Linked DNA regions of Oryctolagus cuniculus. The protein of the gene in region 1 interacts with the protein of each later gene in a pairwise test. Links are inferred from orthologs where the notes say so. Each region holds a gene or a part of one and is shown on either strand. Other genes may lie near its edges.

What was found.
Region 2: the proteins of C14H5orf22 (region 1) and ELOF1 interact in binary tests that used the Homo sapiens proteins (3 or more experiments, as listed by UniProt). The two-hybrid records come from large-scale screens. The link is inferred for Oryctolagus cuniculus from reciprocal best matches to the Homo sapiens genes C5orf22 and ELOF1.

Annotation. Positions count from the first base shown.
Region 1 is NC_091445.1:57,762,128-57,765,940, forward strand, and holds part of C14H5orf22 (UPF0489 protein C5orf22 homolog), read left to right. Parts: coding exon 1-23; intron 24-267; coding exon 268-389; intron 390-1,705; exon of another isoform or gene 1,706-1,767; intron 1,768-2,266; exon of another isoform or gene 2,267-2,311; intron 2,312-3,440; coding exon 3,441-3,507; intron 3,508-3,813.
Region 2 is NC_091447.1:66,342,149-66,345,869, reverse strand, and holds the end of ELOF1 (transcription elongation factor 1 homolog), read right to left. Parts: exon of another isoform or gene 3,544-3,721; intron 1,828-3,543; coding exon 1,694-1,827; intron 1,570-1,693; coding exon 1,499-1,569; intron 1,280-1,498; coding exon 1,215-1,279; 3' UTR 598-1,214; downstream 1-597. UniProt on the Homo sapiens protein: Factor involved in transcription-coupled nucleotide excision repair (TC-NER), a mechanism that rapidly removes RNA polymerase II-blocking lesions from the transcribed strand of active genes.

The DNA.
Region 1 (3,813 bases):
GGCCTGGTGCCAACCTGTCAGAGGTATTTCCATTTATTTCTTTGAGTTTTATGCAAAGTAAATCATTATCTGCTAATATATTACAGCTTATTAGAGTTATTTCAAAGGACTGTCCAAATTGTATGTGTGTGTGTTTGGTGTGTTTTTGTGTCGCTGTGTTTATCAGTGAAGCCCAGAGTTAATACCTGACAATCATGTTTTAGTGTGATATTGCTTGGTTGTTTTTGAAAGAATACCTATATAATCTTAGCTTTCATCTGTGTACAGGAAGATTTGGTAGATATTGTTGATACTCGAATTCACCAATTAGAAGACTTAGAGGCTACTTTTGCTGATTTGTGTGATGGTGATAATGAAGAAACAGTACAAAGATGGGCTTCAAATCCTGGGTAAGACCCTTGCATGTTTTCCCCCAACTTTATTAGCTTTCAGTACTAAGTATACTCCTAAATTTGCTATAAAAATTGCTTTGTTAAAATTGGTGTTAAATTTCAAATGGATTTACTATCAATAGTTAGCATTTATTTTTTCCTCTGTGCCCTCTGTCTATAAAATTTTTCCTTACATTATCTCATTTATTCCTCAACAACAACCTTATGGTTTTATTATTTTATGTACATTTAGTAGATGTGAAGGAAAAAGCACAGAGATTAAGTATGTCACTCATAATAAGTAGTCATGCTTTCAGTTGTCATTCAATAGCTACCCCTAAATATAAAATAATAAGCTAGTCTTTCAAAGGATTAAAGATGAATATATAGATAGTCCCTGGTATATAAAAAGTAAGAAAAAATTTTCAAAAGAAAAGTAATTGCCTTGACAAATAAATTATAATATGGAAATTAATCTCCTTTTAAGAATAATGCAACTACTGATAGAAGAGCTTATTTTCAAAGCATTCATGACATGAGGAAACAGGATTTGGATGCTCAGTTCTTCATCAGGTCAATTACTTGACCGATTCTTTCATTGTTAACATAGCATGAAAGTAGAAAGAGAAAATTTCTTTTAGAGTGAAAACCATTGGTATTAAAGCTGGCATGAAAGAATATATTAATGTTAATATTGTAGTTAGTTTTCTTTAAAATAATTCTATAGATTATGTAAACTCAGAAGGCCAGAAAACTAAAATAAAATAGTCAAACTCTTTGTCTCCTTGAACATAGAAAGACCACAACTAGTTTGTTTGTTTGTTTGTTTGCTTTTTGACAGGCAGAGTTAGACAGTGAGAGAGAGAGAGACAGAGAGAAAGGTCTTCCTTCCGTTGCCTCACCCCCGAAATGGCCGCTTGGGCCGGCGCGCTGCGCTCATCCAAAGCCAGGAGCCAGGTGCTTCCTCCTGGTCTCCCATGCAGGTGCAGGGCCCAAGGACTTGGGCCATCCTCCACTGCCTTCCCAGACCACAGCAGAGAGCTGGACTGGAAGAGGAGCAACCGAGATAGAATCCGGTGCCCCAACCAGGACTAGAACCCGGGGTGCCAGCACTGCATGCGGAGGATTAGCCAAGTGAGCCACGGCACCAGCCCACAACTATTTTAAAATTGATCTCCCACAAACCTAACTAATGATTCTCTACAGTGTAAACAGAAGGAAGAAATCAGCTGTAAGACAACAATAAAAAATATGAAGTTAAAATCACAATACTTTAGACAAAAATTAATGGCCACTAAAATTTTTCATGTTAGTTATTGAAAACAATTCATCAGGTCTCCAGTAGATTACAGAGAAAATTGGAACAGCCTTTGGAGAGGAATCATGTGGCTAAAAGGTAAAGTGTATGAGTGAGAAATACCTTCTTTTGCTATGTGCATATTATCACCTTTTCAAAATATGCTTTGTAATTTCAGCTCAAAAATTTCAGAAACATCTGTGGTTTTTAAATATCATAAACTTTATTATCACCATGGAAAACAGTGGTATGGAAGAATGACTGATAATAATTTGTTCACATTAGTGAATGTTGGCCAGGTACAGTTCATAATCTTTCTTTTTGGTGTAGGGAGCTAGTTCTAAAAATGATACCCTCTTTTTTGAAATTATGATGGAAGAAGGAGATACAAGTCACAGGACATGAATGTTCCTAGAAATATTAAAAAGAATCCACCATTTCAAGATTTCATGAAGCCTTAAGCCAAGTTTTAAATGTAATAACAACAGAATAGGCCTGGAAACCTTACAGTCCTGAATGTAGCCCGGAGACAGGGCCACCTTGCACTGTAACCTAGGTGCCTGTTGAACATGCCCAGTTATCTCATCATCTCCTGCAGGTAGTTCCACCACAAACAGGAAGATATGTTAAGACTGCAACAGTGGTGAGTTTATATTGTCTCTGAAATTGGAAGGAGAAAGAGCAACACAAAGGAAAATTAAGTGAGACAGTAAGAAAAGTCCCCTCCAATCAGCTATCACTCTGGGGGTAGGAGTGTTCACTGTGCCTAAGGAAGTGAAGTGGTGGTTAAGGTTCAGAAGCCCAAGGAAGGAATAATAGGGCAACTAGACAGACAGGTCTTTGTGTCTTCTTGGTTCCCCCCCCCGCCAACAAATTAGTGGATATTGGTGGAGAAGGCATTAAAATACCACGAACATTAGTCAGTTTATCAGAGATTCCAAAGACTTCTACCTAAATTAAGTAACTTGAAAGTACCACTATTACTGTATTAGATAGAATGGAATTTTTCTGATTATAATTATATATTGATATACATTGCTCTCATTTATCTTTAACTTTTGAGAAATAGTGTTTTTCATCACAGTATGCTAAAGGCACTTGATTTTCCTGCTGACCAAAATAGTTTTTAAGTGCAGGCCTTCTGACACAGCAGGTTAAGCTGCCACCTGCATGCCGGCATCCCGTATCAGAAGACAAATTCAAATTCCTGACTACTAGGATTCCAATCCAGCTCTGTGCTGACGTGCCTGAGAAGGCAGCAGATGATGGCCCACATATCTGGGGCCCCTAAACCCGTGTGGGAGACCCAAGTGGAGCTGTCCAGGCTCCAAGCTTTGGCCTGGCCTGGCCCAGCACTTGTTGTTGGCAGCTATCTGGGGAATGAATCAGAGGATCCAAGATCTCTTTCCCCGCCCCCACCCCAGCCCTCCCCCACCACCACCACAACTCTCCCTTGCCTCCTCTCCCTATCAATCTGCGTTTCACATAAATAAAATCTTTTTTAAGAAATAATTTTTAATATAAGAGCTTCTCATTTCTAGAGAAGAAAACATCATTTTCTTCAGTGATTGTTTTCAACTTTTAACACAATCTGCAATTTTTTACATAAGAAAATGGTAGGGAACATTTATAACAGCTTTATTTTTCATTTCCCAATCACCATATGAAACGTTCCGAATGGTAAATGTTAAGTATAATGTGTTACTTTGCTATCGTAATTTTAGTTTAAGTGGTTGTGATGTTTGATTGAATAGGGTGGTTTTTTTTTCCAGAATGGGATCACTAGTTCCACTTGTACAGAGTTTAAAAAAACGAATGGAAGTGCCTGACTATGAAATGGTAAATATTTTTATATTAAGTTATGTAAAATTGACCCATTTTATATAAAGGCAGTTTTCTGAGTAGAAAACTTTGCTTTTGTAAAGATGGTTTGTTTTATTTGTATTTCTCTGAAGTCTAAATGAATTCTTAAGAAAAAGCATAAGTGAAAAACACATACTTTTAGAAGCCAGAATACGGTTAACTATGACATATTTGAGTTCCAGCTTTCAAAACAAAAGTTGCAAAATGACAGCCTGTGAGCGACTTGTAGCTTTCAAATTTCTTTGGTAGTAAAACTGAAACACCACTCATTTAAAATTAAAA
Region 2 (3,721 bases), on another chromosome or scaffold:
GGCAGGTGCAGGAGCTGGGTCTGCCCAGGCTGCTGGGGGTCTGGGATCCTGTGACCCACGAGACCCCCTGAGGACAGACGCAGCCCCCAGGGGCTCGCCATCAGCCTTGGGGGCCCCGCCCCGCACTCCAAAACTTCTCCACACCCCTGCGGCTTCCTGAAGCCCCTCCCCTGCTCCCGCATCCCTCAGACTGGACCCCCGGTCTGCTAAGATCGTGGCTGAGCAGCCACGTTCCTGGGTCTTGGCTCTGTGGCGCCACCTGCTGGACATAAGGGCCTGGGCCAGTGACCCCCACCGTCCTGCAGGTCTGGAGGGTTTTGGTGCACTCCAGAGGCAGGCAAGCACGGGCCATTGAGCGCCACCTCTGCAGGCAGCCCTCTAAGAAGGCTCCCCTCACCACCTTCATTCTGCCCCGTTTCCCACTGTGAGCGCCTGGCCATGGGGGCCCCTGCACCCAGCAGCGCCCAGGTCCCCCTGAGCACTTAGAGAGCAAACACGACACAGGACAGCTTCAAGTCCTGGCAAGCCCCACGCATCTGAGCACAGCCCCTCCCTCCTCTCGTGCCGCGGCAGGTGCACACCCCAAGAAGTCAGGAATCTCCATCAGCGCCTTTTATTTAAGGACTTGTGACTGACGGCTGTCCCCACCCCAGCCCCTGCCTCCTCTCAAAAGCTACTGAACGGGAAATGGGGCTTCCAGGGCGGCACAGGGGAGCCGGCTCCCTGCCCCGCTGGGCCCAACAAGGGACTGGAGAATGGGGGCTGTGGAGCCTGGGCCACAAGCACCGGGATGGGGGGAGGGGGGATGAAGGGGGAGGGGGATGGAGGAAGGAGGGGGAGGGAGAGCCCGGCTCGGAGGGGCCAGGTGCTGGTGAGGCAGCCACGGAGGCTACAGAGCTCCCACCCCGGGTCTGTGGGCTTCCCCTGCCCACTGAGGAGCCAGCGCCCCAGAGCCTGGAGGCGGAGAAAGGGGAGGGTCAACGGCTCTAGGGGCCAAGTGAGGCCAGTCCGGGCCCTCGGGCCCTGCAAGCCCTCAGCTCGAGCCGCACGGCAGGGCCAGCCTCGTGGCCACCCATGCCCACCGTGCGCGCACACACACACAGTCACACACACGGAGGGCGGTAGCAGCCCGGACCCACACCCCGGACCCCTGGAATGTCTCTGGATGAGTCTGCGGCAGGCAGCCCGCCGAGGGGGGTGGGTCCTCTGTGTGGCTACTGATTGGCCGCCTCGCAGGCGTCTATCCAATCGCTGTACACGTCCACTGGTTCTGACAGATCTGAAACGCGGGGGTCAAGGGCGACCGGTGGCGGTGGCCACTGTTCCCTCCCAGGCACCTGCACTGCTGACCCCAATGTCAGCCAGGCCCCTCCCACTGCGTAGCTGAGGCCCTGCACCTGCACACACAGCAGGGCCAGGTACCCCCTGAGCCCACCCTGGGCTGGGCAGCCCTGCCTGCCCACCCGTCCCCACCAAACAGCCCGTTTTCCAAGGATACATGTGATGGGTGTCTGGAATTCTTCTAGGCACACGGTACAAGAGATGACTCCAGTGTTTCGGGCACGGTCCCTGGAAGGGGGTGGGGGCGGGGGGCTGGTGAGTGAAGGAGCCCCGCACCTGTGGCGGTAACCCCAGACCCCCGACCCCAGCCAGGGAGGCGCGGGGAGGCCTGGGTGCCCCAGCCCCCACTCACATTTTCACGTCACAGGACTTCTCATGGTTACAGAACGGGCAGGTGAACTGGGTCTCCAGGGTGCCCGTCATCTTCTTCTTGGGGGGCGGCTTCCGCTTGGACTTCCGGCGTCCCATGTCCGCGGGTGGGTGAGACTGTGGGGGTGGGGGAGGGTGGGCGTGAGGGGGGCTTGCAGCACCCGGGAGCCCACCAGCTGCGGGATCCAGGAAGCAGGCTGGGAAGAGGGCCTGGCAGGGCCCCAGGGTGGTTTAAGGGCTGCGGGGGGGGGGGGGCCCTGGCTGTAACCCCGCTCCCGCACTGATCTGTGACCCCGCCCATGTGTAAGATAGAGAGGCTGTGGGACTCCCAGGAGGAAGACACAGGCACTGCGCTGGGCTCTGGTTCCGTCCCCCCAGGGGTCACGTGCTGGTGCCCAGCCTGGTGGGGCGGGGGGTACCAGGGTTGCGGCGCAGTGGGAGTGTAAGCCATTGGCATCCCATCCCAGAGCGCTGCTTCCGATCCAGCTCCCTGCTCAAGTGCCTGGACAAGCAGCGGAAAATGGCCCCCAAGTGCTTGGTCCCCCGCCACCCACGTGGGAGACCCGGATGGAGCTCCTGGCTTCAGCCTGGCCCAACCCCGGCTGCTGTGGCCTTTAGGGGAGTGGACCAGCCATTCGAAGATCTTTTCCTCTGTCACTCTGCCATTCAAATAAATGAAATAAATCTTCCCCCAAAAGGGGTGTGTGTGTGGAGGGGCAGGCACATGCCACATAGGAACGCCTGGTTTTAGTCCTGGCTCCTCCACTCCTGATCCTGCCTCCTGCTAACGCACACCCTGGGAGGCAGGGGAAGACGGCCCAACTACTTGGGTCCCTACCGCCCATGCCGGGGACCCGGGTGGAGCTCCAGGCTCCTACATTCAGCCTGGCCCAGCTCTGGCTGTTGTGGGCATTTGGGGGAGTGAACCAGCAGATGGAAGATCCGTGTGTCTCTCTTTCAAATCAGAATGAAAATAATGCAAAAAAAAATCAGCAGGTGGCACCTTTAAGAGGCAGGCTTGGGGGAGGTTCCTGGGTCACTGAGGGCTCTGCCCCGGATAGGAAGGGAGTGCCAGCCTCTGGAGTGAGTTCTGGAAGTCTCTCTCCACTTCCTGCACAGCCCAGGCACCCACCACGCACCCCGAGGCCCTCAACAGAGCCCGCACCACTTGTCGCCTCCAAAACACTGAGCTAAGTGAATCTTTCTTTATAAAAGGAGCCTGTCTCCGGCATTTTGTATATTTGAAAGAGCAACCATGCGCCTCCATCTGTTCTCATCCCCCCACAAGGTGGCCAAAACAGCCAGGGCCGTGCCAGGCACCAGGAACACCACCCAGGTCTCCCACGCGGGTGGCAGGGGCCACAGCACTTGGGTTATCGTCTGCTGTTTACCCACGCCCCTTCGCGGGGAGCTGCATCAGAGGCGGAGCAGCCAAGACTCCGACTTCGAGAGCCGCCGAGCCACATCGGCCCCCTCCCCATTTTGTTAACAGCTCCGAAAGGCTGAACAGTGACACAGGAGGGCCAGCCGGCGGCAGAGGGGCCAGCCGGGCCAAAGCACTAAGCCCCTGATGGTGGCCGCTCCTCTCGTGTGACACCCAGGTCCCACCAAACAAGGAGGGCGCGCGGGGGATGGGCCGCCTCCACAACGGCACGTGCGAGAGTGGCGCCGGGGGCGGGCAGGGGGCTTCTGCGTGCTCAGCAGGACCCCAGAGGCCACAGGGGGGCGAAGGGAGGGAAGGGCTGAGGGCGGGTACAGGACCCAGGAGCCTGGGCGGAGGTAGAGTTGGAGCGGGACAGGGCGGGGGGGACTGGGGTGGATGTATGTATTTACTTGAAAGGCAGGTATAGAGACAGAAAGTGGTATCTTCCATCTGCTGGTTCACTCCTCAAATGGCCACAATGGCCAGGGCTGGGCCAGGCCAAAGCCAGGAGCCAGAACTCCATCCGGGTCTCCCACGCGGGTGCAGGGGCCCAAGCAGTTGGCCCATCCTCCACTGCTCTCCCAGGTG